7 linked regions of the Canis lupus familiaris genome follow. The protein of the gene in region 1 binds, or shares a complex with, the protein of each later gene. Links are inferred from orthologs where the notes say so. Each region holds a gene or a part of one and is shown in the gene's direction. Other genes may lie near its edges. The genes, in order: PPIL2, CRIPT, EFTUD2, SNIP1, CWC15, CWC22 and CRNKL1.

Region 1 (3,323 bases):
GGGGGCCCCGGGGAACTGGCCTGGCCTGCGGGCTCAGGGCCACCTGTTTGCCCTGCTCCACCGCAGATTGCCGAGGAGCGGAAGAGGACACAGCTTGAGGAGGCAGCGGCCCCGGAAAGCACAGTGAAAACCCGCCAGCCCAAGCCGGGGAGCCAGGGGCCCCAGACGTACCGCCAGGGGGTGGGCAAGTACATCAACCCAGCAGCCACGTGAGTGCAGCGCGGGGCTGGCCGTTTGCACGGTGCTCTCCAGGCTTCCCAAGGCCCACAGGCCACAATGTGCCAGTGGCGGGGGAGCACCAGGCTTCGGGGCTGAGCAGTGAGCAGGTGTCCTGGGGGCCACCGTGCAGGCTGGAGATTGAGGACTTGGGTGGGGACTGCGTGGCTGTGACGTCACATGCAGCAGGTGCTGTGGGAGGGCGTGGGAGGGCGTGGGCGGGCGTGGGCCTCCAGCTCGAGGAACTGATCCTTCTCTTTCCAGGAAACGTGTAGCAGAGGAAGAGCCCTCAACCAGTACAGCTGTGCCTGTGGCCAAGAAGAAGCCCAGCCGAGGCTTTGGGGACTTCAGCTCATGGTAGCAGCAGGTCTGCCCCTCTGGATCCCCGGGGGGGACTGGGGGCCGGGGGCCTGTGTCCACAACCCCGTGTTTCCTGCCTCGTCACCTGCCCGTCTGACGACACCTCGCTAAAGCTCTTGCTTGTTGCCTGAGGCCCCCTTCCTGTGGCCCGCAGACCAGCCAGCAGTGTGGGCGAGGAGGGCCCCCGACTCTGGCTTTCCCACCCTCCCCCACCCCGGCTGTCGTCGTCTCAGGGACTGTACTCAGTGTATCACCTGGGACCTGGTTACACACACAGAATCGCAAACCCCGGACCTTCCGATCTGGGGACTCGGGGCAGGCTCTGCGCTCTGCTGACACACCTTGGGGGGCTCTCGCTGCCAGTGGCTTGAGGACCCTGCATGGGAGCCTTGCCATTAGTTTCTAAAACCTCTTCTGCTGCCTCTTGCCTGGACTCACTGGGGCCTGGCCACCCACCCAGCAGGGACTCTGGGTGGTCACAGCCATGTTCCCCGTGGGCCTGCTCTGGCCAGCCCAGGTGCGGGCTGCACCCAGGACTTCCTGCCTCTCTGCCTCAGGACAGGCACAGGAGCGCCCGTGGAGCAGCTCTCCGGTTCCTGCTGCTACTGATGGATGCGCCGAAGGCCCTGCCCAGCTGGCGTGACCCCCCTTCCACCCTCAGGGTCCCTCCTTGGCTCAAACACTTGACCCCTTGCCCTAGCACTAGGGCTTCCAGACCAGCCTCACCAGCGTTTCTGGACTTAAAAAATCCCTTCCCTTTTTATTTTTCTATGTCTTAAAAAAAAAACTTAGCACTTGCTTGCCTGCCCTTTCTCACTAACTGTTCATTCTGGAGCGTGTGCCTGCGTGGCTTCCACGTTCTCGACACTGACACCACTACCTCGGCCTTCCCAAAGCACCTCTACAGGAGCGTGGGGATAGCTGTCCACCCCTCACCCCCACTCCCAAGACCTAGTCCTCGAGTCAGCATAGGCCACAACCCCCTCCAGCTTGTCACACTATCGTTCTGAGGCTCTGTCCCCGGTTCTTCCCCTCGCCCAAACCTCAGATCCATCAGTGAGTGTCAGTAGTGGCTCCAGAATTTACCTGGGCTCTGCTTTTTCCCATCTTGGATGCTGAAACCCCAGACCCACGCCTTGTCTCACCTGCCTCTGTTCAAGTCCCTTGCACACACCCACACAGATGCCATCTGGGTCACCTTCCCAGAGCTCGTCAGCCTGTTGGCATTTTGCTTCCCAGCAGTCAGTGGCTCGCCTCCGTGTGAGAACAAGGTCTGTGCCCCCCACGCACCGTGCCCTCTGCATACCCTGCCTGTGAGTGCAGCCAGGGCCTGGGGCTCTACGGTGACCACTCAGCCCTCTGTGCCCATGGCCAGGCCTGGCCCTCTTCTTCACAACCTCATCACGACCCCTCCCGGCTACATCCAGACATCTGATAGCTGGTGAAACGCTTGTGTCCCAGTGTCTGTGCCCAAAATGCCTCCAAGATCCGGGTTCACCCAGGAGGAGAGGGCTGCGTGTGGTGACAGCCAAGTGAACACACTTGCAGGCCACCAAGTAGTTGCTGGTGGCTCTGGGTGCGGGCAGAGGCCCTGGAGAGGGGGTGTCCCAGAAGGCTTCCCCTGCAGCCTTTGGGGGAGGGGGAGCCCAGGTGACCAGACCAGAGCCACCACAGGAGCTCGGAGACCCTGACCCAACACTCCCAGCAGGAAGCCGGGGCTGTCGGCCGAGAGCAGAGTGCCCGGGACAGGACGTGCGACTGAGAAGGACAGGTCTGACATTGGAAGCTTTATTGTTCAACCTCACACAGACACAGAGGACGGAGGGCTGGACATGGAGGCTGAAGGAGGCTTGTGCACGTGAGCTTGGCAGTCCTGCTCAAAGGGGCAAACCTTCGGACTGCTGTCCATCTGTCCGTCCCTCCAGCTGCGCCCAGTGGCCACACTCACCTGGCCCCAGGCAGGCCCGGGCCACCCTGGCTGCAGATCCACCCAAGGGTCTTTGACAAACAAGGGTTTACATTTCTGTAGGTTGTTCTGGAATTTAGTTTTCTAGATATTAAAACCACTCAGATTTTGTAAGTACCTGGTGAGGTCACCAGGTAAATTAAAGGACTTTTGGAAAAATTCCCATGTCTGATCTCGCCTAGTATCTGACAGATGCCATCAAGAATAAGTGTTAAGGTACAAAAATACTATATATATATGTAGATATAAAACGGCAACAAAACTAAACCACGCTTCTAAAGCAGATGTGCTGCGCCAGAAAACACTACATAGTTTTAAGTTAAATGCATTTATGGTCCTGGCATCCCCTCCCCATTCTTCAAGGACAAAAATACTTTAAATAATTTAAATAAAAGACACAGGATGATATTTACTGTTTAGGGATTTAAAAGGGTGGAACATTCCAACACTCCACCAGCATATCTGGTTGTGGTCTCGAGAATGTCCTTCCCTGGAGCCAGCTCACGGTCTGTTCATTTGGTTTCGAAAGGAGCTTCGATTTTGATTTTTCGGAAGACCAACAACAAAAAAAGTGTTGAGTTTTCGTTGGTATCAGTTACCAAAAACAAAAAAAACCAAAAAGTACAAAAGAAGGCCTAAGACCACTGGTAAAAATGTTTCAATGCCATCACAAAAGACAATACAAAAACCAAAGTGCTCAAATCAGAGGAGCAGTAAACTTGCCCAGAACATACAAAAGCTTTAAATAGGAGTTCAGTATGTACACGGCTCGCTCAGAAGA
Region 2 (4,681 bases), on another chromosome or scaffold:
CATATAGACTAGTTTGGCTCAAAAAGGTCTTAGAACCTAAAAAGGCCAAACTTAGTAATTTCTTAAATATTTGTAACCAGTTTCTGTAAAAGGGTCATGTACTAAGACCAATTAAGGGGTTCGTTTCCTTTTCTTTTTCTTTCTCTTTTTTGTCGAAATCACAACGGTGAAAACAAACACGCAGAGATTAATGATTTGCTCTGGTTGGAAATATAAGCTATGCGTTCTCCGATCCATGGATACACTCTGACTAAACTGCTTTTTTTTCTTCTTTGTAACCACTAGGGACCCTTGTCTAACATCACAGTAGTTCACCTCTTCTGGCAAATGACAAGCAATACCAAGTGCACACTTCAGGACTCAAATGGTGGCCAGTGTAATCAGGAAAGGCCAAAGAACATTATGCTAAACTAAGGGATCCCAATGCTCCAGAAATACCGAAATGACAATGTCCGTTACAGGTGCTAGGTTCCAATCAAAAGTAGGGCATAAGTAGAAGAAAAATCTTTCTTTCTCTCTATAAAATACACATCGTGGTATGTATAACATATATGTTTATTTATAAATTACCTAACGCAGAGCTTATACATAGTACTGGCTAATATCAAAGTAACAGTCCACATGTTACCCATGTTACACTGTGGTTGAATATTCCAGAAAAACAAAAGGGCAAGTCAAGGCCTTATCTTTACAGCTCTGATCTAGTTCACATTATAATTTTCCAAGGCAAATATTCTACTGATAAGGAAACAGGCTAAGGCACGTTGGGAGACATGTCCAAGGTCCCAAGCTCCCAAGCACTATAGCCACGTCAAACCCTCGCCTCTTTGACATAAATCTACACTCCAGGGGCCGAGAAGGGGATGAAGAGCAAGAAGGGAGGAAGGAAACCTCTCTGGCAGATCCGCTGACCAAGGGGCAGGGGCGCAGGATCCGGAATACACCGTCTGAGCGGACTATCCCTTCGGGTATGTTTCTGGGCCGCTCTCAGAATCCCAAGTGATATGGGCAGATGAGGCTCTAATACACGGAGCAGCACCCAACTGCTTACTGAATGAATGAACGAACGAACGAGGAGAAGAGGGTGGGCCAAAGGTCTGCCCCCCCGCGAAAGCAGCCGCGGGGGTGGGCCCTGGCGAGCACACCCCGGCGGCCAGCGCCCGCGCCCCCGCCCCCGCCCCCGCGGTCGGACCCGGCCCGCGCCCACCGCCCCGGAGGCTGCGGAGCTTACCCGCGCAACCCGCGGCACCTGCCCCTGCAGCCCCCCGCCAACCTCGGCCGCTCGGGACTCTGCCCGAGCCTCACCCCGCGCCAGTGTGAACGGGGGCGGGGCCGCGCTGAGAGGCATAAGCAAAAGGGCACGGGCGCGGAGACCGAGACGAACGGAGGGCGCCACACACAGGGACGGATCCGAGGGCCGGGTCCATCGGGGCTGCCCCCGGGTCACGCCGGAAGGGTGGCCCTCGGGCGGGCGGCGGGCGCCAGCGGGCCGGGGGCACAGACGCTCGCGGCCACGTGGGCAGTGGGTGGGGGCCGCTGGCACCCCGGGAGGCTCGCGTGCCGGGCGGGCGCCGCTGGGCTTACCTAACTCTCCCGCCAGCGGAAGAGGAGCGCGAGCTACCACCTCCCACCATCAGGTACGACTCGCCGCCCTGGCCAACGCGCAGGCGCAAGCCTGTGGGGCGGAGACCCAAGGCGGCACAGCCAATTGCAGGAGCGGAGGGGCGGGCAATGGGAGAAGCCCCGCCTCCCACGGCCTCTCAGGTGTGGGGTGGGCGGGGCGGTGGGCGGGGCGGAGGGCGGGGCGGCCGGAAGCGGATTTTCGTAACCCGGAAGGGGACGTCTGCCCCGGCTGTTGTGTTGACATTCTCGAGCTGCTGCTGTTTCTGCGGCCGGGGGAACCGTCGGGGAAGGATGGTGTGCGAAAAATGTGAGTTAAGGGGCTGACTCTTTGGGAGGAGGCCAGGAGAAGCTAGCAGGAGTTCTCCGGGGACTTCGCCTTTTCTTTGTCTTTTCTTTCGGCCACAAGTCTCTGATTCCAGCCTTTGTCCTTTATCCCTTTCACCGTTCCCATTGGTTTTGCATTCGGAGTGTTCTCAGTTTTGTACTGATTTGTCTATTTCCTTTGCCTCCCCCAGCCCCACCCCGGGATTTCATCCCATACAGCTCTTGACTGGCTCCTTAGCCTCACAGACCCTCAGCATTGGAATGGATCTTAAAAGTCATTTTTACAACACCCAGAGTTTCCAGATATAGCAGACATTTTAAAAATGAATACTTTTTTTAGAAGTATATCCCATGCGATATTTGAGACTTGTCTTTGCTCGCAGCTTCTTAGTACTGAAAGTGCTTTGGGCTTACCTTTAGGACATGACAATACTAAAACACCATTCATTGTTTATTTGAAATTTAAATTGAACAGGGCATCCTGTATTTTAACGAGCAACCCGAAGTTAGCATCCTTAAATGTTGACTTAAATGTTCTTTGCATGAATATCTGAGGTCTTGAGGCAGGGTTCAGAAAGCCTCACTACCTTCAAAACAGTCTGCGTAGATGCCACTGGCTTTTAGAAAGTTCCTTCTTGGGCAGCCCGGGTGGCCCAGCGGTTTAGTGTCACCTTCAGCCCGGGGCGTGACCTGGGGTCCCACATCGGGCTCCCCGCATGGAGTCTGCTTCTCCCTCTGCCTGTGTCTCTACGGCTCTCTCTGTGTGTCTCTCATGAATAAATAAATAAAATCTGAAAAGAAAAGAAAAAAAGAAGAAAGAAAGAAAGAAAGAAAGAAAGAAGAAAAGAAAAGATCCTTCATCCCTACAGTTGCCAGGCAGTGATTCTAATGCAAACCCTTGATGTTTCTGGAAAGTATCTTAGGATTTCTTTGATGTCACAGACTGTCTATATGTTTTAAAACGGCTCTCATATCCCTAAGTCTCTTTTTCCTCAGGCTAGACTTTTCTTAACAAGATTTCAAGTCCTCTTATCTGGATTAACATTAACTTGATCAATTCTGTTTATATTCTCCCCTCCCCCCCAGTAGATAAACCTTTAAACACAGGCACCCATGAGTTTGAATCACAGGTTTTACATTATGTAAAGGAATAACCATGGTGAATTACCTAATATTTCTTGGCTCCAGTTTTCTCCTCTGAAAAATGAGAATAATACATAATTTATGGGGTTTTGTGAGAATTAGATAATGCAGGTAAAGCCTGATATAAAAGTGCCTTAGTGTATACTCAAAAACTGGTTATTCCTATCATAACTCCCAGTATGTGGCACTCAGCATTAAACTCTGCTCCATTTTATGAGGAGTAGAGTGGGACTGATATTTTCATTTTTCTATGCTTTACATCATCATCTCACATGAAGCTTTTAAAAAATTATTGCAGTTCTACCAATTGGCATAGGTAGAAGTCACCCATTTAAAATGTGCCATTCTGTTATTTTTAGCGTATTCACAGGGTTGTGCGACCATCACCACAATCAATTTTAGAATATTTTCATTGCTCCAAAAAGTACATTAAGCTGTTTGACATTGACGTCCTTTTAACTCTACTCCATCCAATACTTATGAGGTTTTTTGGTTTTGCTTGTTTGAGTAACTATGTCTTACATATATTTAGGTTATGCACCTTCTCCATGTCTTTTCTCTTATGTAGGGTAGTTCCTAAACATGTAAATTAGCCTTCTTTGTAATTTGTGTTAATTCGGTACATTTTAACTTTAGAGGCCTGGCATTCTGACGGGCTTAACTTGTTTTGTGTGATGTTCTTTACACCATAAGTGCTTTTTTCCCAGGAAAATTGAGGATACTGGGCAAATTCTGAGAGGTAATTTCCTAAGGCACATAAAAATTTTGAGAAGCCAAGATCGGATGTGATGTTAAAATACACATAGTTTGGCTCTGGGACGTGATATATGTCATAAAGGTCATTTGCTTTTTACTTCTCTGCACTTCTGAAAGTCTGTATTATTTCTTTGCTCTAGTACCTTTCTACCTTCTGTACCATCTTATTCCCCAAATAAAAATAGACTCTTAATTCAAAGACCTTTCTTTCAGTCCCTTTCTGCTTCTCTGTGACTTTGAAACTTGATCTAGATTCTCTTTGAATTTACTTCTCTTCTTCTTTACCATTATAATCTCCAAGTTTTCTTATTCTCCCTCTCCCTTAAAGTAGATATTTCCCAGTGATCGACATCTGCCCTTCTTTTGACTCTTTGTTTTGGAAATATCTGGCTTCAAGTAGTTTATCCATGCCAGTGAATGTCTAATCCACATCTCCAGCCGACTTCTCTCTATACCAAGACCAATAGAAGAAATTTCTCCAGACAATACTGGGACCCTTCATCTGGTTGTTACATAGTAGTATAGTACTTCCAAGACTGAATTTGTCATCCTACTTTATAAATCTGTAACTTCTCTTCCATCATTTAATGGCATGGCAGTCCTCCCAGTCACCCATTCATAAAGCCTTATTCATCGCTCATTCGTTCTGGTATCCCTTTGTCAACCTGCATCCAAACACTTGCCTGTCCTGCTATTGTTACTTCCATTCAATAGCTCATATTTTCCCTAGCCTCTCATTTACCCCTTAAATAACCTACCTGAGGTCCCCATCACTCTTGAGTTAAACTAATGTGATCCCCTCCCAGCTCCTTTCTCTTCAAACTGTGCTCTCTCT
Region 3 (3,895 bases), on another chromosome or scaffold:
TCATGATCTCAGGGTCATGAGCTCAAGCCCTGCGTGAGGCTCTGTGCTCAGTGGGGAGTCTCTTGAGATGTTTTCTCTCCCTCTTACTCTGTTCTCCCCCCCCCCCCCCCGTGCTCGTCCGCGTGCTCTCTCTCTCAAATAAATAAATCTTATTTTAAAAAAAATGAAAGCTCCGTCTAATGGAATGGGGCTCTGCATTTTTATGTTTCATGCCAACCTGTACATCACTTCTTTTTTTCTCCCCTAGAACCTATTATTAAGCCAGTGAAAACCAAGAAATTCACTCTGATGGAGCAGACGTTACCTGTCACGGTGTATGAAATGGAGTAAGTTATAAGGTCTCAGTGTGGGTTCATTTTTCTGTGGAGGTAGGAGGTAGTTTATGGTTGAAGTACCTAGTAAATTGTAAAAGTAAAAATCCTCTCCTACAATTTGCCAGAATTTTCCTTGAGCATACATGTTTGCTGGAATGTGTAGAGTCCATCTTAACTTTTCTCCTGCCTCTCCTTCAGATCTCAGCCTTTTCTCTTCCAATTCTTTAGTTGGGTATTAGAAGCTGGCCTTTGAGACAGAACTGGGGATTGTAATCATCAATGTTGGGGCAACCAGAGCCTATTTTGACTTGGTGAGAATGCTGTTTGGGGAATATAACAACTCTTTATTATGGAAAGGAAATATTCTACATGTGTAGAGTACTTTAGATTCTTTGTACTGCAGACTTTCTGAAAATATTTTCATTGATGAAATGCACTTGTAAGGTCCTCATATATTGAAGTGCTTAGAACTCATTTATTAGATAATGAAACTTTTCTTTGTTTTAAACATGTTGAAATCTACTGTGTCTAAAAGAGTGGGATCTGGGCAGCCCGGGTGGCTCAGCGGTTTAGCGCCACCTTCAGTCCAGGGTCTGATCCTGGAGACCCGGGATCGAGTCCCACGTCTGGCTCCCTGCATGGAGCCTGCTTCTCCTTCTACCTGTCTGTGTGTGTGTGTGTGTGTGTGTGTGTGTGTGTCTCATGAATAAATAAATAAAATCTATTAAAAAAAAAAAAAAGAGGGTCCCGGGGTGGCTCAGCGGTTTGACGCCTGCCTTTGGCCCAGGGTGTGATCCTGGAGACCTGAGATCGAGTCCCACATTGGGCTCCTGGCATGGGGCCTGCTTCTCCCCCTGCCTGCCTCTGTCTGTCTGTCTCTCTTTGTTTTGAAGAATGAATGAATGAATGAATGAATGAATGAATGAATGAAATTAAAAAAAATAAAAGAGTGGGATCCCTTCTGAAATGGTCAGCCCACCTGCCAACATTCAGCCATTTTTGAAAAACTTTTCAATTATCTTTAGAACTTGCTTCAGATTCCTGTGTGTTCTCAGTGGTGGTTTTTAAAATCTCCAATCTTTTAAAGTGGGCTTGATATTTCAAAGAGTCAAAGTCCTCTGAATTAATGTGGTAAGCAAGAAAGTGCCGTTCTGATCAAGATGGAACTCCTCAGCATCATTAATGAGATGGAGTTTTCTCAAAAGTTTTGTTAACTAGCTCTAAGGGCAATTTCTTTCTTTCTTTTTTTTTTCTTTCTAAGGGCAATTTCAAAGGAGAAGCTGGGGTGCCTGAGTAGCTCAGTCGGTTAAGCGTCTGACTCTTGATTTCAGCTTGGTTCACAGTCTCAGGGTCATGGGGATTGGGCCCCACATCAGGCTCTGCACTCAGCCTGGAGTCTGCTTGTCTCTTTCCCCCTGCATCCCCCTCCCCTCTCTGCTCGCTCATGCTTGCTCTCTCTCGCTCTCTCTCTAAAATAAATTTTAGGGATGCCTAGGTGGCTTAGCAGTTGAGCGCCCGCCTTTAGCTCAGGGCATGATCCCACGGTCCCGGGTTCAAGTCTCACATCGGGCTCCTTGCATGGAGCCTGCTTCTCCCTCTGCCAGTGTCTCTGTCTCTCCTTGTCTCTCATGAATAAATAAAATATTTTTTAAAAAATTTATTTTTAATCTTTAAAAAAATAAAAGGGAAACTCTCAAAGTGATTTTAAATCCCCTTTGCATCAATGAAATAAATGTGTGGTATCTAATCTGAGGATTTTGAAAGGGACAGTGCTGGTGTATGTGCGTGCATGTGTCCTTATATTTGGTTTTGCCTTTCTTGCTTACTTTTGAAATCTCATGATTTTGCTCTTGAAACCCATTTCATGGGTTGTGTCATGTCATGGATAAGTCTGTTCCATTTCCAGAGCCAAACCCATATAGATGTAGAAATTCACATCTGCCTCTGAGCATTCTCCAGTTGGTCTGAAAATTGTTCCTGACAAAATTCATGAAACACTTTTGTACCACTTCCCATTTGGAAGCTTTTGCCAAAGTCCCTTTTCTCTTTTCCTTTCTCCTTTCAGCTTCTTGGCAGATCTGATGGATAATTCAGAGCTCATCAGAAATGTAACCCTCTGTGGCCATCTCCACCATGGCAAGGTGAGAGAACTTTCAGCTACTTGGAACACGATTTCTCTTAGTTTCTGCTCATTTATTCAGGCCTCAGAGTCACAGTTGGGGTTTGAGGCCATCATGATGGACCTCTGATAATGGGGGACCTCCATGCTTAGTGTGAAACTGTGCTATGAAATTCTAGCTTTTCCTGAACAGTGGATGGAGCCTGTTTCTAAGCCACTTGCAGCCTTGTGTCTACATCTGTACAGAAGAGGAGAAATTGAGCCTTACTCTCATTTTATAAGTTTTCATTTCCTGGGGGAATGCTTGTCCAAGAAAGATTTCATCTTTCATTTGAAGATAATCCTATGGCTTCAGTGGCTTCAGTATTAATCCCTTGCTGTCCCATAATCCTCCTTGCTCTCCTCTTCCTCTCTTTATCCCTAAATTAGGTGGTGTTTTGGGCACTGAGGGAAGGGTAGAGTAGATTTTCCTTTGTGCTTGGCACATCTTAACCTTCTCTTCTCTTTCAGACGTGTTTCGTAGATTGTTTAATAGAGCAGACTCACCCGGAAATCAGGAAGCGCTATGACCAAGATGTAAGTAGAAATTCTGTGGAAGGTTTAGGATGAACCATTCAGAATATACAGGGGTGTCGCTCTCCTTCCCCTTCCTTCTCACTCTCATTATAAATAATGACGCCTACAAAGCGCTGCTTTATAATTGTAATCTCTATTCATAGCCTTAAAGAAAGTAATTTTAACTTTCTTAGGAGACTAGAGAATATTAACCTGCAGTATTTTTGGATGATCTGTTCTGCACTTGGGATCTTTCCTCTGTTCTGATATATCCTGACTTTTATAGCCTATTCTTTCCTGTCATGGTATTAATAGCCTACTCTATAAATATAATACAATTGGACCTTGTTGTTTTCTGTGATAAATTTAAATGCCTGTGAATGAGGCCAAATGTGGCTGCAGGTCTCAGCGCAATAAATGTTCCATGTCTGCTAGATTGAGTGTTTTGACGTGTGGGGGGTTCCATAAAGGCTGGATGTGTCTCCCTTTACTACTTTAGGATTCAGTGCATTTGATAGAATTTAGCTCTCTCCAGCCATACCTGGTCCTCAGGGACCACCCTGACCCCCTCCTACCCAACCCCCCTCCAAAAAAAAAAACATCCATCCGGGAGCATTTTCTATCTGAGAGGGCCTTGGTTTTTCTGTAGGATACCCTTCTGTCTTCCATCTAACCTCCTGAGACAGAAACCCTTGGGTTGGGAGCTGGTGGGGGAAAGTGATTGATGGTTTGTATGGGAGAGGAGTCTGGAGTCAGGTGGTAACAGCACTTCATTTTTTTTTTTTTCCAAGCTATGTTACACTGACATCCTCTTCACAGAGCAGGAGGTAAGTGTGCCTGGGGAAATCTAACTGCTGCTCACACCAAACCCAGCAGGAGTTTTTCAGGGAATGTGGGGGAGCCTTTA
Region 4 (4,655 bases), on another chromosome or scaffold:
CCCCACCCCCACCCCCACCCCCCGGCTTGCTCCAGGTCTTCTGAAGAGCGCTCCCCTCTTCGCAGCTCACTTGCCCCTTCTCTCTTCTCAGCATAAGTTAGGTCTCAGCTGAAGGTGGAGAGAGCCTGCGGTCCCACCCCCGGCCCAAGGTCTGTATCTCCTGGAACCGCTGCTGCAGGCGCAGGTGCTCAGCGGCCTGGGGATGGAGCGAGCGCGACCGGACCAGTGTGCAGGACAGCGAGCCCCATGCACCCCGGGGCTTGCTTCCTCACCCTACACCAGCCCTCCGGGTGCCCCCCGGGTGCCCCCCGCCCCTCGGAGCCTCCGGGCTCCCCCGCCCCCCAGGCCCGCCCTGACCTTGGGGCTCCGCTTCTCCGTGTTCCGGCTCACCAGCACCGGGGTGTCGTACTTGAGCAGAGAGTCCGCAGGGGGGATCATGGCGGCGACGCGGGTTCGAGTCCGGCGGCCGCCCCTCCAGCGTGCTCCTTGTTTGCCGTCACCATGGAAACCCCCCGGCCCCCCCGCCGCGCCTCGTGGCCTGGGCGGGGCTTCGGATGGGGCGGGGCCAGCAGCGCAGAGTTCCCGCTCAGCCTCGCCAGGAATTCTCCTCCCGCTCGGTTGATCGCGGTTCCTGCCCCGCGGGTCGCCTTGATGCTCCTGGAAAACCACGCCAAACGGGAACGGAGTCCCCACGCTGCGGCTCGCAGGCCATTGCAACGAGGCGCACGGTCACCTTCGCTGGCCGCCAACTTTGTCACCTGCAGAATGGGAGCCCTGTGACTCCTCGGTGGAGGCTTGGGAATCTGCAGATTCCCAGAGGGAGGCACCTGCAGCTCCCCGGTTTCTTTTTTTTTTTTAATTTTATTTATTCATGAGAGAGAGAGAGAGAGGCAGGGACACAGGCAGAGGGAGAAGCAGGCTCCACGCAGGGAGCCCGACGTGGGACTTGATCCGGGGTCTCCAGGGTCACGCCCTGGGTCAAAGGCAGGCGCTAACCGCTGAGCCACCCGGGGATTCCCGGAGCTCCCTGGTTTTCTTTTTAAAAATTAAAAATAATTTTTTTGCTCCCCAGTTTTAAAAAGTATTTGTGTTGGGGCGAGGGGCACCTGGCTGGTTCAGTCAGTAGAGGGTGAGACGTCGATATGGGGGTGGGGAGTTCCAGCCCCACCGCTGGCTCTAGAAAGGACTTGAAAATAAAAAGTAAAAAAAAATAAATAAAAAAAAGTAAAAAAGTAAATAAATTAAGAATTCATTTTTTAAATTAAATGGAGAAGTGACAACATAACACGAAGCTCAGGACTAGCAGGGAAGATAGTAATGACTTGCCCCCACCCCCCCGGGGGGCTGTCAGTGATTGCATTTCCTTCTCTGTTTCCTCTTTTTTTTTAAATATTTTGTTTATTTATGAGAGACACAGGCAGAGGGAGAAGCAGGCTCCACGCAGGGAGCCCGACGTGGGACTCGATCCCGAATCTCCAGGATCCAGCCCCGGGCTGCAGGCGGCGCTAAACAACCGCTGAGCCACCCGGGCTGCCCAGAAGCGTCTCTTTGACGTTTAAAACTCCCGCCACCCGAGCGGCTCCCGACAGCCCCTCCCGCTTGCAGGGTCGTGGTCACGTGCTTCGCTCGCCGCCGCAAGGGTTTCTGGGAGAGCGCGCACCCGGAAGCGGAAGTGCGGGGGGTCAAGCCCGTCGTTTCCTTTAGCGAGAGGAGCGCAACGGATCTCTCTCTCTCTCTTTTTTTTTTTTTGTTTGTTTTGTTTTGTTTCCCTCCCCCGCTTCGCTCTCTGCTCGTATCTCAGCATGAAGGAGGTAAAGAGCGAGCGGGAGCGGGGCACCCGGCGGAGGCACCGCGACGGGGACGTGGTGGCGGCGGCGATGGTGGTGAAGGTGAAGCAGGAGCGCCTGAGCCCGGAAGCCGCGCCGCCCGCCCACCGCCGCCCCGAGTCCTCGGGCGGGAGCGCGTCCCCGCCGGCCGGCGACCCGGGCCGCCCTGGGCACCGCGGGAGCCGAGCCCGAGGAGGCAGCCGGTAAGTGGGGGAGGCGCCCGGGATGGGGACTTGGAGGAGGGGCGGGGCTGGCGTCAGAGCCCCGTTTTGGGAGCCGAGCGCGGCTGCTCGGGTTTCATGTCAAAGGGGGTGGGGGGGGGGTGAGCCGGTGGCGCTGTGCGGGAGAGCGTTTACGGCGGCCCCTGCCTGATGCGCAGGATCCCGCCCCCCTCATCCCTGCGCCCCGCATCTGCCCGGACACCGCGCATATGGACCCGAAATAAAGGCTCCTCCGCATCTGCCCGCACATGGGCTGCCGGCCTACTAGGCCTTCCAGACGTCTGCCCCAGAAGCCCTCCGCCTTGGCAGCCCAGGCGATCCACCTGGTAGGCAGTTGGAAGAAAAACCATCTCTTGCTGGACTGCTCCGTGTATTCCTTCGACTTAAGTTGTGAGCGCGTTGCTAAAGGAAGAAAGACAGCCGTCGCTCCTGGGGCCTCGTGCGGCCTTTGCCCCGGCGAAATGGAATGGGTGTGCTCCCGCCTCGAGACAGAGTAACAAGGCCGATAAAATAGTTTCCGTATGTAACAAGTATTAAGAAGCGGCTCCAACCGGAGGTGTGAGAGCGAGCCTTGGAAGGAAGCGAGAGAAGGAAGGCCCCTCTGAAAACGTGCGGTTTGCGTTGAGACCCGAACGATAAGGATTGTCCAGGCTGGGGAAACCCATGTGCGCAAAGAAGCTGAAGCCCGGTTAATGTGATTGTTCTAGAAGTGGGAGTGCGGGGTGGGGGTGGAGAGGGGTCGTTTAGGGATCAACGGAGGGGAGAGAGGCGATCTAGAGCCGGAGGACTGACTCGCTGTCGGATTGACGTGGTTGTTGCCGGAGAGTGTCGGGAGCTATTGCTGGGGAAAGGAAAGGGGAGTCACGGGGGGTTCTCTGGGTTTTTTGGGCTTGAGAAGCAGGGTGGATGGTGATACCCGTTACTGAGATGGCAGAGGCTGAGGGAGGAAAGGGCTTTGAGGGGTTGGGAAGCAAGAGTCAGGCTCTCAGAATGCTCCAGAGGCAGCTCTGTGTGTGTGTGTGTGGGGGGGGGGGGGGGTCTGAAGCTCAAGGAGGGTGTCCCGGGCTGGAGAGCGGAGCTCCCCGCCTTCCTTGGTGTGAAAAGCAGAGCCCTTCACTGGATGTGCTGTTTGTATTGTTAGTAAGTAAGCCTGACACTTGACTGTGAGTGTATATGGGGGAAGGGAAATTGAGATAAAATCCTGTGTGTACCCTGCTCCAAAAAGGTCCCCAGCCAAGAGGAAAAACAAGTCCTCAGGGAGAAGAAGCAAGTCTCCTCGGAGTAAGAGAAGCCGAAGCCCTCACCACTCGACAGTCAAAGTGAAGCAGGTAAGCGGACCGAGATGTTTTGATACCAGGTCCAAATCTAGAATCTCTTACCGTCCTGACAAATACATGATCCTAGGTGTTTACCTTTATCCGTAGCGGGTGTTTCTAGAAACTGGGTTGTTGTTGTTTTTCTACTTGTTTTGTGACACCTTTTTAAAAAAATTTTGAGAATTGTTGATTTACACACTCAGCTGTTTTAAAAAATAAAAAATACAGAGGTACGTTCTTCACTGTGTTTTTCCCACTGGTAGCATCTTACAGAATTCCAGTGCAGTATCACCGGGAGGGTATTGACATCGTGACAGTTAAGATGCGAACATTTCCATCCCCACAAGGACCCATTGGGTTGTCCTTGGATAGTCTCACCCGCCTGTCTCTCATCCTTAACCCCTCAAGTCCTGGCAACTTCTAATCTGCTCTCTGTCTCTATAACGGTTGTCACTTCAAGAACATTATGTAAATGGAATCATGTAAATGGAATCATCCGTCTAACCTTTAGGGATTGGCTTTTTTCACTCAGCACATTTCTTTGGAGATTCATTCAGCTTGTCTTTGTCAGTATTTGATTCCTTTTTTATTGCTGAGTGATACTCAGTGGTGTGGTTTTAACCCTTTACCCATTAAAGGACAAGTGAGTTGTTACCAGTTTTTGGTTATTGTGTATATAAGGTTGCTGTGTAACATTTGTATACAGGTTTTTGTGTGAACACGTCTTCAGTTTTCTGGGATAAGTGCCCAGGTGTGCCATTGTTAAATGGCATGGTGATTGCATGCCAGACTGTGTTCCAGGAGGGCTGTGTTGGTTTTCTAGGGCTTCCATAACCAAATACCACAGACTGGATACCTTAAACAACAAAAATTAATTTTCTCACAATTCTGGAGGCTAAAGTCCAAGGTCAAGGTGTTAGGAGGTTTTGTTTCTCCTGACGCCTCTTTCCTTGGTTTTCGAATGGCTACCTTCTTGGCTGGGTCCTCACATGGCCTCTCCTCTGTGGGCTTGCATCCCTGGTGTCTCTTCCTCTTCAGATAAGGACACCAGTCATATTGGATTAGGGCTTTGCTGTCAACTTAATCATGTCTTTAAAGACCTTATCTCAAAAAAAGAAAAAAAAAAAAGAAACCAAAAACGGATGCCTGGCTGTCTCCGTTGGTAGAGCAGTTGGCTCTTAATCCTTAATCAGGGTTGTGAGTTCAAGCCCCACATTGGGCATGGCACCTACTTTAAAAACCAAACGCACCCCCCCCCCCAAATGGTTACATTCTGAGGATGGGAGTTGGAA
Region 5 (4,583 bases), on another chromosome or scaffold:
TCTTGAGGCACAGGCAAGAGAAAACCCAGTGCAAAGGAAATCTTATCCTTTGTGAAACAGAAATGCCCTGTTGGCTGTGGCTGGAGTTCAATATGTAAAAGAACGTCTGATTAAAAGTGAAGTCAGGCAGATAGGCGGGAACCAGACCCCTTGGGTTCTCAGGTCACATTAAAGAATTTGACCTTTATTCTAAGTGCAGTGGGGTTTTTAGGCAGAAGAGTAACACTACCTGATCCATAACTTTCAAAGATCACTCTCACTGCTATCTGCAAAATTAACCGTATGTAGGGCCAGAGTGGAAGCAGGAAGGTCCATTAGGGAGCAATTATAATGCAGGTGAAAAATCCCAGTGGCTTGAACTAGGGTAGTGGCAGGGGAATGAAATTTTGGGTATCATACTTTAAAAGTAAAATGGACAAGTCTTGGAAATAAACTATATGTGAGGAGTCAAGTAAAAGGGATTTAATCAGGAGCCTTGAGGTTTTGGTTTAATAAGTGGTACCTGGCAGTGTCCTTTACTGAGACGTACAAAACTAGGGGAGAAACACCATCCCTAAGAGAAAAATTTTTTATCTTGACCTTCAGAAAGGAAGGGGCTGCTTCTACTTTTTAAAAGAATTTACAGGTTTCAAAGGAAGAGTTCTGGAAATAAAGCTTTTTAATGCTCGATTTTATGAGCTGTTTATATTTGACACCAAGTTGGAGATGCTGAATTTTCATCTGTCTAATATTTATTGAGCATCTACTGTGGCCAAAGACCATGTGATGAGATACCAAGATGGACTAAACAAACGAGCTCCCTGCTCCCAGTGCTTTTTGGAAAAGGGAGAACGGACGACTGGCGTTCGTTGTCTCATTAAAAGTTCCCCCAACGCCCGAGTAGCCATCTTCCAGGAACTGCATCTCGCGCTCCTGGCAGTTGGGCCCAGCGTTCCAAACGCTCATCATCGGGCTAATAAGTGAATCTCTAATAGTGACATCTCCCCTCCCGCTAGAACTCAGGCTTTTTTAAAAAAAAATGGAAATGTTAACAAACAATACGAATACAACCTTTGCCTTGAAGACTAGTATTTTTGCAGGAATGGTACCTTTATAAAGATCGTGGTTGCCCCCGTACATATTTGTTCTTTCTTCATATCCAATTAAATGAAAACACTAGTTTTTCCGCAGCCCACTCTAGGCTGGCTGGGTCTAGCTCAGGAGAGAGGAAGCCGGAGCCGTTGGCTTTAAACACTTGGGTGTAATCCTTCTCTACGCTCCCTCCCGCTAGCCGGGGACTCGCGGTCCGCTACCCGGGGCTTTCCGTCCACGCAGCGGCGGAACGAAGGAGGCTGGGAGGGGGTCGGGGAAGGGAAGGACGCGAGAGACATTAAGTAATTGGCTCTTGAAGGTATAAAACGATGTTTCGGGTCTACTCGAAAGCACGGATTTCAAACGCCCGCCCCCTGGGCCGTTTCGGCCCCGCCCCCCGCCGTCATCACGCCGACCTCCACCCCGCCTGCTGCCGATTGGTCTCCGCCTCGGCCTCGGAAGTGCGGCTGAAGAGCCGGGGTTTGCTTCCGGGTCGTGGGGCTCGGGCCCGGTCCTGGGCGCGGAGGCTGCTGGGAGGTGAGAGTCGTCATGGTGTCTGTGTGACTTGCGGAGGCTGTCGCGTTAGACCTTGGTCGACGTGTGCCGCGGGAGGGTAGCAGGTTGTCCGTCCCGCGCGGGTGGGGCGGGGAAGGCCGGCAGCGGCCGGAGTCGGCGGTAGCGGGCCGGGCGTGGGCGCAGGGGCCGCGGCGGGGGCGGGGGCGGGGGCGGGCGGCGGCCGCGGAGCGCGCAGCGTGAAGGCAGTAGGCGGGCGGCGGTAGCGGGGTCCACACCCCTTCCTCCCCCGAACCCCCTGCGAGTCGGGCCTCGGGGTGAAGAGCCAGCGAGCCTCTGGTAACAGCCCGAAGGCCAGCCCCCGGGAGGCGGGAGTGACCGAAATCCGGGAGTGTGCGGGCGGCGGCGGCGCCCCCAGCGGCAGGAAACCCGGGCTCTCTCGGCGCAGATCCCTTTTCCCTTTTTAAAAAATCGAGGGACGTACACTCAGTGCCCGCCTCCCCCACCCCGGTTCCCCGCACCTGGCTTTTCGGACGCTCGACGGGACTTGAGTAGCCACGTCTGCTAGGCACCCCTCTTGGCAGCCCCAAGCCAGAAGTAACGGAAGGGGTCCCCGAGTTTTGTTTATCGGAATCCTTTGGTGGTGACTTTCCTTTCATGAGCATCGTCACCTACAAAAATCTGCTTTGTATTCTAATCGTTGCTATAGAAGAAAGTTGGACCGACAAAAGGTTGTTGGAGAATCCTGCCCGTGTAACTGTCCTTAAAGTTTAGCCTACTTTACTCCAGGACACTCCGTAACCTTGTCGGTGATTTTAAAACAACCTGGTTTTGTAGTTAGTAGCCTGTTTTCTGTTGTATGAGGTTAAGTGCAAACCTTAGGGCATCTGGTGGACTAGGGTTAAGCTGAGAATTTTTTTTTTAAGATTTTATTTATTTATTCATGACAGAGAGAGAGAGACACAGAGGCAGACAGGCAGAGGGAGAAGCAGGCTCCATGGATCAGGCCCTGGGCGGAAGGCGGCACTAAACCACTGAGCCACCTGGGCTGCCCATAAAGCTGAGAATTTTTAAAACTCAGTGTTGGCAGTACTAAATTTTGCAAGGCTTTGACATTTCAATTCCTTTTTTTTTTTTTTTTTTGACATTTCAATTCTAATAATAACCCTGTGGGGGACATTGCCCATTCCTCAGAACTTGGAGCTGGATGACTTGCCCAGGGCCCCAGATACAGAAGGAGAACAGGAACACCAACTCCCATCTTCATGAGAGAATTTTTTGCCCTAAATAAGAGTTGCCTAAGAAGCTATATTCCTTATATACCCTGAGCTTCATTATGTGTTTTCTTGAGAACTTTTGTTTGAGATTATTAATTTTGGAGAATGAATTCTGGAAATTATTTCACAAGGATGAATATTATTAATATCTTATGAAATGAGAATATATCATATTGGAAATAACTTGATACAGTTTTTCTTTAAAGCATAAAAGATGACAACAGCAGCTAGGCCAACTTTTGAACCTGCAAGAGGTGGGAGAGGAAAAGGAGAAGGTGATTTGAGCCAACTCTCAAAGCAGTATTCAAGTAGAGACCTACCTTCTCATACAAAGATAAAATATAGGTAATGAAGACTTTTTATTTTCTTGTTCAGAAGACAAGACTAAATCTGTTAAATGGCATGCTCATGAGATTCTAGCGTGTTTGGGGTATATCACTAACCTATTTTCATAGGGATAGAATGCAATAGAGTGTTTAACATTAAAACTGTGCTCTGATTATTAAAACACTACCATGTACTACTTATGCAGAAATCCCTATTAATTGGGAATTTCCGTATGTAGATGGCTCAATAGCAGTGACCTCAGGGCCCATCCACTATCAGCACTACTCAGTGTGAGGTGAAAAGTGTCAGACTAATGAGCCCTGAATTGATGTACTAACAAAAAGTAAAGACATTTTAATTACTCCCCAGCCTTATGGGAAAATATGTGACTCAGTTTGGGCTTTCTGAAACGTTGGAAACATTACAAGAATGCCTGTTAGTGACCTTCAGATTAGGGTAATGATCTCATTTAGTTCCTTGAACTTGAGGACAAAGTGGCTTTTTGCGAACTGTCTTCCCCTGCTACAGCCATGTATCTTTTTAGTAATATTTTCACCAAATTGTTTCTGCTTTAGACAAACTACTCAGGATGCCCCTGAAGAGGTTCGCAACCGTGACTTCAGGAGGGAGCTGGAAGAGAGAGAGAGAGCTGCTGCAAGAGAAAAAAACAGAGACCGTCCAACAAGAGGTACCAACACTGCCCCCAGATATTTGTCATCATGAAATTATGTTGACAATGGTTTTTCTTTCATGGCTAATTGGAGCTGATTAATATTTTTTGTTTGCTTGCTTTAAAATGTTGGCGTAAACAATATAAAGTATTGTTTGCTTTAAGATTGGTAACACTTTCTTAAGTGATTAGATTAGAGTTGACTCCAGTTCCATCTCTTTGTGCTTCCTTAGCAGAAGGAACAGGATGATCTGGGGATATCTGGCAGTTCTTGTTTCAGTTTACGTAAAGGTTTTTGTCTTAAGATTTATTTGAGAGAGAGCACATGTGCATGAGCAGGGGGAAGGGCAGAGGGAGAGATAATCTCAAGCAGGTGGGCCTCAATCCCAGGACCCCAAGATCATGATCTGAGCCAAAATCAACAGTCAGATGCTCTACAGACTGAGCCACGTAGGCACTCCTAAAGGTTTTGACTGTTTACAGCAACGAGACTTTTTAAGGCTTCGTGTTTTCTCTATGTGAGGGTCTCCTGTTTTTGTCACTGGGTTTTGGAAGGCATCTAGGGGCATAAGTTATAATGTCTTTTTTGTATTTTCAACATATGTAAAGTATTCCCTAAATTCCCTGAGAGAGACTACAGTTCCCATATTAAAATCAATACTTTCATTAATTCGTTCAACAAATGGCATGTGACCAAGGGCACATGCCAGGCACTGTGGTCCCTG
Region 6 (3,895 bases), on another chromosome or scaffold:
TTTTGGAGATAGTTGTAGTAAATGTAATAAATTTAGACTTCTGAATCAATCATCTAGAAAGTTTTAACAGATACAATGAAAGTGAAGAAAAATTGTATCCCATATTTGGAGTATTTCTGTATGCATTCTAAAATTTGGTCATCATATGAACAGTATTATTGCTACAAAAACCGATTTGCTAATTTTTTAAATTACTATTGACAGTAGGTTAATATATGTGAAAGCATTTTCTCTATTCCATATGTCTTCATTCTATTTAAGGCACATGAAGTTTTATGCCTAGAGATGCTCACTTTGCTCCTGGAAAGACCAACAGATGATAGTGTTGAAGTAGCTATTGGTTTCCTCAAGGAATGTGGCCTCAAATTAACACAAGTGTCACCAAGAGGAATCAATGGTAAGTATATACCTTTGGTTTGACATTGAGCTTTATTTGAGTATTACAATATTTTTTGCTTATTTTATTGGTTTTTTTTCTTTCACTTTCACTTTAGCTATATTTGAGCGCCTCCGAAACATTCTTCATGAGTCTGAAATTGACAAAAGAGTTCAGTATATGATTGAAGTGATGTTTGCTGTACGGAAGGATGGATTCAAGGACCACCCTGTTATCCTAGAGGGACTGGACTTAGTGGAAGAAGATGATCAATTCACCCATATGCTCCCTCTGGAGGATGACTATAATCCAGAAGATGTTCTTAGTGAGTTGGATGGTGGGGGGCAGAGGGAGTTGGGAAGTAGGACACCATAAATGTAAATATAGAAAATAAATAATTTTTAACTTATTTTTTCAAGATGTTTTCAAGATGGATCCTAATTTTATGGAGAATGAAGAGAAGTACAAAGCTATTAAGAAAGGTATGTAGAGTTTTATAATCTATTTTGGATAAGTAGAAGCAATTTGTGTAGTTCTATTAATACTAATAGAAAGGTTTAGATTATTGACCTAATGAAATCTCTGCTCTTAGGAAGCCATTCTCCTCACTATTTTCCCATGCATCATTTTTCTGTCTAGTGCTGTTTGTGGTCTACTTCATTCTAAATTATTTACCTTATTATCCCTGTCCTCTTTCCCTCTATTCAAATCATACAGACCTTACTTAAATCTCTTTCCTCTTAAGAAATGTCCATATAGGGGTTCCTGAGTGGCTGGCTCAGTTGATTGAGCATCCAACTCTTGGTTTCAGTTCTGGTTATGATCTCAAGGTCCTGAGATCAAGGTCTGCTGTGGGCTGTATGCTTAGTGAGGCATCAGCTTGAGATTCTCTTCCTCTCCTTCCCCTCTGTCTGTGCATGCTTGCTCTCTCTCTCAAATAAATCTTAAAAAATAAAGTCCCTATATTACTAGCGGCCTTTATTTTAACTTCACTACCACATAAGAATTGGCGCTTAAATTGACACCCAGTTTAATATTCAACTAGATCTTATGCTTTATGATTTCTTGAGAGTAAGTTGATATCCTGATAAAATCAATCACAATTCCAGATAGGCTATTAGTGCTCGAAAAATTAATAAATTATTATTATCATTTGTATGTCATCAGTATATTATGAGCACTAACTTTGGATAGACTTTGGTTTTTATTTTGTCTGTGCCATTACTAGCTAAGTGACCTGGAACAAATTACTTGTTTGACGTCAATGTTACTTGTTTGTTTAAGGATAAGTAAAAAATATTGTGCTTTGTATTATCACAGGGCAAGTATTTAGGTAATGCACTTTTTTTTGACATTTGTATCATTTTTCTTCTAAAGCTAATTTTCAGGGCTATCTGTATAATTATAATTTTATGGGTTTATTTCCCTTGAGTTGTGTTTTTATATGAGAAGTATTTACTGTTCTAAATGCTCTCAGGAAGAGAGAGCAGGAGCCCTAGAGCTCTGTCAATCTCCTGCATTCTGTGCTGTTGTCAGGCTTGGAAGTAGAATGAAATAGAAAGTAAGATGTAAGCAGCTTTCCATTTCTATGAATTATTATAAAAATCCCGGTTTCAATAAATAGATTACTCTCCTCAGGTGCCATTTTCCTAGGGGCATTTCATTGCAATAGCCGGATTCTTTTTGCTATTACAATTCAGTTTCTTAACATGAAGAATTCCTTAGACCCATTTTGCCTTCTTATGAACTTTCTTTACAGTATCACTCAAAGATGCTAAATGTTTTTATGAAATTTTTATCATACCTCATATGAATTTTTTTTTTTAACTTAGGAACTCCTCATCCATTTCTTTAGGATATCGGTGGTTGAACAATGCTAGGAAAGTAGTACTTTCTTTATTGTAGCACTTCTTAAGCTCTTTGAACTTAACTTCCCTTTATACTCTAGAAAAGTATTTAAGACTTCAAAGAGCTTTTTTGTTTTGTGGGTTACATCTGTTGACATTTACTTTATTAGAAATTAAAACTGATAATATTAAAAATACTATATCATTTCAAAATTACAGAAACTTAGTGTTCATATTATAAGTTATATACTTTTATGAAAATAACTACTTTGTGAAACAAATTTAAGAAAAATGGCCTGTTTTATATTTTATACAATTTAATGTCTGACTTAATAGGAAATCGATTTTCATATTGTTTGTGATTTCAGTCTATTGCAGTAGGTTGTTTTGATTGAAGTATAGAAGAAAATAGGTAATATGAGGTTGGAAAAGAGATCAGTATTTTAATAGCCTTTTCAGATAATGTGTATGTTTTTCCTTAGTACTCTGCCAGTATTTAAAGGCTAATCGTTTCTTAAAGATTAAGTGGAATGTGAAACCTGAAACAATATTCATGAATCTTCATATTCTAATTCATTAAATTCCATTGGCCTCTCACTTTGAATGGATCTTTTACCCATGCATGATTTTCCAACATGTTCAATTGGTCATTTAGAAAATGCCCATTCACCCAGTTATGCATGTCTTCTAGGTGTTAACATGTTAACATTATCAAAATTAAATGAACACATTAACACAATATCAAGAAATCACATTTATTAGTATCACCTTAGAGAAGTTTAAGTATTGGAAAGCTGTCAAGCTCGGAGGAATGGATACCACTTCTCTAATTTTCTCCTGAGAGCTCTAATTTTATCATGGTAGTAAATACTGTTAATTATTTTCCCTGAAGTGACATTCTCACTTTGTATTTGGGAAAATGTCTGCCAAATACCTAACAACTATAGTGTGTCAGTCATTCTCTCAAGTAAAAAGAAAAACAGCACTGATTCACCTTGCAAGTCAAAGAGTTTCACAAGTGCTTTTCTTTGAGATAACCATCACGTGACAGTGTGCATCTGTCTTTAACAGAAGGGCTGTGTACGAATTCATCTTTTGCTACTCAGATGATTATACATGCTTACATATCGGGGTGAGATTCAGTGAAGTTAGCAGTTCTCTACTTCTTCCTCAAGGACATTATCAAGTCAAACTGGCTCTTTTCCCACCTCTGAGAGTATGGCAGTAAAGAGCACAGTGATGGCTGGTGCACTTTGGTGCCTTGATTCGTGCTCTGGTTGCAGCAGCTTCAACCCTCATTGCTTTTGGACCTTTGTAGATGGCAGCACAAAGAAAGGCAGATAATGTCTGGGTATTGTTATGAAAATAGTTGTGACCTCACAAATCACCTGGCAGGTGTCACTGATCCCCCAGGGGGATCAGACTATATACCTTGAAACCACTGCTTCATTCTGTTAATGAAATCCAGTTGTCATTGCCTAAGTAATTTCAGTAAGTAGATTCTCAAGTGGAGAGATGAGGAGAGGATGATGTAAACGACTAGACAATTCATTTGACCTTCATTCTTTCATGAAATGTTCTTCTAGAACTGGCATAAAAAAAAATGGCCACAGCAGGAAGTGGGCACAGCTTTAGTAATTAGCACCTTAGAGTGACCCAGGTGCACTTGAGT
Region 7 (4,612 bases), on another chromosome or scaffold:
ACTGGATCGAATTACCAAACAATAAAAACTTGTGAGATAGAAGGAGACAATCAGCAATAAAACATTCTAAGTGTGTTTCTGAAAGGAGGCTAGATTAAACTTAAATCAGTTAAGTATAGTTACAAGTTTAAGGGACATCACAAAAGGGAAACATTTTTTTTTTATTTTAATAGTTATTGGTTTATTTTGTTAGGCGACTTTATTTCAGTCATATAAAATCTCATTCAACTTATTTAAAATTTGAAAAGTGAGATAACTTACAAATATTTAAATAAGTACATAGGTAGAACAGAGCTATGGCAAATATTTTTATACTGGTTACAAATGACTTCAGTTAACGTTTTCTCAATAGCACTATTTACGGAGATAGATTTAAATACATAAAATACACACATATATTTATACTTATGAATATTTTTTCTGAATACCAAAAGAGCCTTGCAATTGTAAAAATTTCTTAACCAGTGAGCTATCACACCACGAAGACAGGGAGGAAGCCCAAATGCATATAACAAGTGAAAGAAACCACTCTAAAAAAGCTACATACCGATGCAAATGACACAACATTCTGAAAAAAAGCAGCCCTAAAAATTTTTTAAAATCAGTGGTTATAGGAGGCAAAAGGAGAAGGAGGAATAAATAGATGGAGCACAAAGGATTTTTAGGATGGAAAAACTATTCTTTACCATTCTATGATGGTAGATACAGGTCACTAAATTCCATAGAATGTGAACCCTAATGTTAACTTGTGAATAATGAGCTGTCAGTGTAGGTTCATCAATTACAAAAATGTACCACTCTCACGGGGAATATCGATTGTGGGGGCAAACGGGACGGCAGGTGTGAGAAACAGAAATTCTCTGTACCTTCATTCAACTTTTCTGTGAACTTAAAACTGCTATTTTAAAAAGTCTTTTTAAAAAAAATTCTCTTCACTATTTGCTTGCATAAAATTAGCTTTTTCTTTTGAAGATAGGTCAAGAATTACACCAGCTAACATTTACGGAGCACTTTACATAGATTTTCTCCTTAATGATGATAAAATAGATACTATTCTTTTTGTCTCACAGCTAAGCACCATGGGGCTAAGAGAATTGATGTAATTAAGGCACATTTACAAAAAATTAAGCATCTGTTTATCTGACCACAAGGATGGTTTATTTGCTAGTACTTTGATGATTTATTTTCATTTTTTTCTATTATTTGGCTTTAAGATGCCTTCAGTTACTTCACTTGTGCACAACTGTCCAGAAAAAAAAAAAAAAAAAAAAGAGACCTCCAAGACTACAAAACCTAGAACGCAACGCGGCGCCAGGCCACCTAGGAACGCAGCAGCTCGCCCCTTGGCATGCTGGGAAAGGAAGTTTTCTGGCCTACCTCTCTGCCCCGACCCCAAGCCTCCGGATCGGAGCTTTGTTCCTTTTGCCCTTCCCCGGAGCCACGGTTCGACCGACCCACCCATCCTCGCAAGTCCTCCCAGTTCCGGAGACTGACCTGGGGATGCGCCCCTGGCGCCCCGGACTCCGTCCCCGCGCCCCTGTCGGGCGAGCCAGCACTACCCACCTCTCCCGCAACTCCGAGACACTGCTCTCCGAGGAGGACGCTCAGCCCGGTTACCACAGAAACGAAGTTGCCGGCGTCACGGCGCGTGCGTGAAGTCAAAGGTCATGCCAGCAACTTCCGCTTCCTGTTTTGGGATCTCGCTTGTTGTCGGAAATCCCTGGGATTCTGTCCAGCCCTCGGGGTCTATTTCTGGGGTCCAGGTTGAGTCGCGGTCTTGTGCTGCAGCCATGGCGGCCTCCACCGCTGCCGGGAAGCAGAGGATTCCCAAAGTGGCGAAGGTAGGAGACCGCGAAGGGCTTTGTGGGAGGAGGCCCCGGAGAGGGGCTTGCCCCAGCCTCCTCGGGGCCCGCGGCGGAAGACTGCCTAGAGCCATCCTACCCCGTGTGGATCGAGTGGAAGGGTTGGCAGGCGGTGGGGCGCAGGCTTTTGTCGCCCCGGAGACGCTCCCTTCCCACGCCGCGTTGGCGCGGCCTTCTTTCTAGGGCGTGTTTTTGCGGAGGGAGGAGTGGGGTCATTCGGCAGGATTTAGGCAGCGCGCTAGGCGCTGGGGAAGGAACTACGACCTAACGCGGGCAATGTGCCGTTTTCACAAATGACACGAGCCAATGTGAAATTGCCACCTTGCCGAATACGAGTGAGGCGGCGTAGGATATGCCGCGGAGTGATGGGGTTTGTATGAGGGGTATGCCGAGTCCGCTTTCCTGAGGAAGTGATGTTTAAGCCGACACCTGGTGGCTGACTAGGAGTTAGGCCCCCTGAGCCTGGAAAGAATGAGAGGGCATGGGTTGTGTAGTGGCATTAATTTAATTAAACAGTAAGTTTGGTATTATATGATAGTTCCATCGGTGACTGATACTCACTGAGTGCTTAATGTGTGACGGGCTTTACCCTGAACCTTTACGGACGCCCTCACTCCAGTCTGTCTCTCCAGCCCAGGTGGCTCTCTTGAGCTTGTCCTTTACATATCCGTTTAAGTCACATAGCACAGCATCTGTGACTGCATATGAGCTGTAGTCATTATTATCAAAGTCATTCCACACATGGCATTAAACAATATTTCTTATAATCCAATTCCATAAAATGTTACAGGGCACCAGTGGTCCAACAGATATACAGTGTGAGCCACATTATGTAATTTTAAGTTTTCCTGTAGCTACATTAAATAGTCAAAACAGGTGACATTAATTTTAACTGTATATTTTCTTTAATCCATTGTATCCAATATATTGCTAATTGAACATGTAATCAACATAGGAAATCTAATCAGGCAGTTTACTGGCTTATTTCACACTATGTCTTCAAAATCTAGTGTATATTTTACCCTTACAGTCCATCTCTATTTGGGCTCACTGCATTAGCTCATGACTACTATGTTGGACAGCACAGCTCTAAGACTTCAAGAAACTTATGGTCTGTCTAATTATGGGAATTTATTGAACTGTCTTTGATTTGAAATGCCATGAAAACAACCAAACACAGTTTGAGGCATTATCATCCACATGGGGCATAATTGAAAAGTTCTGTAAATAGAGAGTGTAACACTAGGAAAGATACAGCACACATCTTCATAAAACACCTCTAGTGAGAATTTACCTGAGCAGCCTCAAGGTTTATTATTATTCTAATCTAAAAGAGAACACTTGCTATTTTTGCTACCTTTTCTCTGAAGACTTACCTATGGCTTTGTAATAAATACCATGCATAAGAAAGAAAACTTTGTTTTCTGTTTAATTTCATAGAGAAATGAAAACCTGTCATATGAAGAGGGCATCTTGTAATAATACAAAGTTCCCATCCTAAAAAAATGTCTTTTTGCTTCCTAAACTTTGTGTGATGAGCATCTACTAAAAATGAGAATATCTTCTATCTTAAAAGGTGAAAAACAAAGCCCCAGCTGAGGTACAGATAACTGCTGAGCAACTCTTAAGAGAAGCTAAAGAAAGAGAACTTGAGCTTCTTCCTCCTCCACCTCAACAGAAGATCACAGATGAAGAAGAATTAAATGATTACAAACTAAGAAAAAGGAAGGTCAGTCAGGGTGATATTTTCAGTCTATTAATAACATTGTTATTACTTTATAGGTCAAAGTTTGCAGAATTCCTCATTGGTTAGAGAGGCTATAAGAATAGGTTAGTGTTTCTAGCCACATGAGTAATGTAACTCCTGGTTACCAAATAATTGCATTTTGCTGAACTTTACAAAATATGCCATGAATTGTCTTTTAAAGTATAAAGAGATTCAGTCCACCAGAGACATAATTTTTGGTGCAGAATCAAAGATGGAAGTTTAACAAGTGGAACATCTGACAGTTGGAAGGGGCTGGTCTTAACCAAGGTCACATTATGTACTCTCTCTGTACATTTTATGGTAAGAATTGAGACCTGGAAAAGAGCTGAGAGAGGACTTGGATTCTTCACCCTAGAATCCTCACTCTAGGGTAATTTTTTTTTTTTTTTTTTCTTTAAAGATTTTATTGGGCAGCCTGGGTGGCTCAGCAGTTTAGCACTGCCTTCAGCCCAGGGCATGATCCTGGAGACCCAGGATTGAGTCCCGCATTGGGCTCCCTGCATGGAGCCTCCTTCTCCCTCTGTCTGTGCCTCTGCCTCCCTCTCTGTCTCTCCCTCTCTCTCTCTCTCTCTCATGAATAAATAAATAAAATCTTTAAAAAAAAAGATTTTATTTATTTGTTTGTTTCAAGAGACAAAGAGCGTGTAAGCAGGGGGAGGGGCAGAGGGAGAGAGAGAATCTTAAGCAGGCTCTAGGCTCAGTGTGGAAACCCACACAGGGCTTGTATTTATGACCCTGAAGTCATGACCTGAGCCAAATTCAAGAGTCTGCTGCTTAACCACCTGAGCCGCTCAGGCACCTGTAGGATAATTTTAAACCACTAAGCCTGTTTTATCTACTTATTAGTGATGTTCAAAGAGTGATGTATGAAATTCTGAGACATTACTGAGAGGACTAGTAGAAATAGTCAAGAACATTTCCATGCTAGGAAAAAGTATAAAGTATATATTTTTTTTTCAGGTTTTTATTTAAAAAGGTATAA

What was found.
Region 2: PPIL2 (region 1) and CRIPT share a complex: the UniProt entries of both Homo sapiens proteins name them as parts of the minor spliceosome. The link is inferred for Canis lupus familiaris from reciprocal best matches to the Homo sapiens genes PPIL2 and CRIPT.
Region 3: PPIL2 (region 1) and EFTUD2 share a complex: the UniProt entries of both Homo sapiens proteins name them as parts of the minor spliceosome. The link is inferred for Canis lupus familiaris from reciprocal best matches to the Homo sapiens genes PPIL2 and EFTUD2.
Region 4: PPIL2 (region 1) and SNIP1 share a complex: the UniProt entries of both Homo sapiens proteins name them as parts of the minor spliceosome. The link is inferred for Canis lupus familiaris from reciprocal best matches to the Homo sapiens genes PPIL2 and SNIP1.
Region 5: PPIL2 (region 1) and CWC15 share a complex: the UniProt entries of both Homo sapiens proteins name them as parts of the minor spliceosome. The link is inferred for Canis lupus familiaris from reciprocal best matches to the Homo sapiens genes PPIL2 and CWC15.
Region 6: PPIL2 (region 1) and CWC22 share a complex: the UniProt entries of both Homo sapiens proteins name them as parts of the minor spliceosome. The link is inferred for Canis lupus familiaris from reciprocal best matches to the Homo sapiens genes PPIL2 and CWC22.
Region 7: PPIL2 (region 1) and CRNKL1 share a complex: the UniProt entries of both Homo sapiens proteins name them as parts of the minor spliceosome. The link is inferred for Canis lupus familiaris from reciprocal best matches to the Homo sapiens genes PPIL2 and CRNKL1.

What each region holds. Positions count from the first base shown.
Region 1 is NC_049247.1:31,132,106-31,135,428, forward strand, and holds the end of PPIL2 (RING-type E3 ubiquitin-protein ligase PPIL2), read left to right. Parts: intron 1-66; coding exon 67-209; intron 210-319; coding exon 320-326; intron 327-480; coding exon of another isoform or gene 481-491; coding exon 492-707; 3' UTR 708-2,704; downstream 2,705-3,323. UniProt on the Homo sapiens protein: Has a ubiquitin-protein ligase activity acting as an E3 ubiquitin protein ligase or as an ubiquitin-ubiquitin ligase promoting elongation of ubiquitin chains on substrates.
Region 2 is NC_049231.1:49,890,624-49,895,304, forward strand, and holds the start of CRIPT (cysteine-rich PDZ-binding protein), read left to right. Parts: upstream 1-1,804; 5' UTR 1,805-1,914; coding exon 1,915-1,930; intron 1,931-4,681. UniProt on the Homo sapiens protein: As a component of the minor spliceosome, involved in the splicing of U12-type introns in pre-mRNAs. Involved in the cytoskeletal anchoring of DLG4 in excitatory synapses.
Region 3 is NC_049230.1:18,486,071-18,489,965, forward strand, and holds part of EFTUD2 (116 kDa U5 small nuclear ribonucleoprotein component), read left to right. Parts: intron 1-247; coding exon 248-326; intron 327-2,379; coding exon 2,380-2,455; intron 2,456-2,943; coding exon 2,944-3,009; intron 3,010-3,779; coding exon 3,780-3,815; intron 3,816-3,895. UniProt on the Homo sapiens protein: Required for pre-mRNA splicing as component of the spliceosome, including pre-catalytic, catalytic and post-catalytic spliceosomal complexes. Component of the U5 snRNP and the U4/U6-U5 tri-snRNP complex, a building block of the spliceosome.
Region 4 is NC_049236.1:4,998,757-5,003,411, forward strand, and holds the start of SNIP1 (smad nuclear-interacting protein 1), read left to right. Parts: upstream 1-1,667; 5' UTR 1,668-1,802; coding exon 1,803-2,029; intron 2,030-2,169; exon of another isoform or gene 2,170-2,710; coding exon of another isoform or gene 2,711-2,712; intron 2,713-3,272; coding exon 3,273-3,375; intron 3,376-4,655. Other genes in the region: DNALI1 (axonemal dynein light intermediate polypeptide 1), read right to left, coding at 358-438. UniProt on the Homo sapiens protein: Required for pre-mRNA splicing as component of the spliceosome. As a component of the minor spliceosome, involved in the splicing of U12-type introns in pre-mRNAs. Down-regulates NF-kappa-B signaling by competing with RELA for CREBBP/EP300 binding.
Region 5 is NC_049242.1:6,114,979-6,119,561, forward strand, and holds the start of CWC15 (spliceosome-associated protein CWC15 homolog), read left to right. Parts: upstream 1-1,477; 5' UTR 1,478-1,608; exon of another isoform or gene 1,609-1,691; intron 1,692-1,806; exon of another isoform or gene 1,807-1,923; intron 1,924-3,054; exon of another isoform or gene 3,055-3,067; 5' UTR 3,068-3,075; coding exon 3,076-3,206; intron 3,207-3,763; coding exon 3,764-3,876; intron 3,877-4,583. UniProt on the Homo sapiens protein: Involved in pre-mRNA splicing as component of the spliceosome. Component of the PRP19-CDC5L complex that forms an integral part of the spliceosome and is required for activating pre-mRNA splicing.
Region 6 is NC_049257.1:23,718,370-23,722,264, reverse strand, and holds part of CWC22 (pre-mRNA-splicing factor CWC22 homolog), read left to right. Parts: intron 1-261; coding exon 262-397; intron 398-494; coding exon 495-701; intron 702-795; coding exon 796-858; intron 859-3,895. UniProt on the Homo sapiens protein: Required for pre-mRNA splicing as component of the spliceosome. As a component of the minor spliceosome, involved in the splicing of U12-type introns in pre-mRNAs. Promotes exon-junction complex (EJC) assembly.
Region 7 is NC_049245.1:3,678,131-3,682,742, forward strand, and holds the start of CRNKL1 (crooked neck-like protein 1), read left to right. Parts: upstream 1-1,663; 5' UTR 1,664-1,667; coding exon 1,668-1,841; intron 1,842-3,438; coding exon 3,439-3,591; intron 3,592-4,612. UniProt on the Homo sapiens protein: Involved in pre-mRNA splicing process. As a component of the minor spliceosome, involved in the splicing of U12-type introns in pre-mRNAs.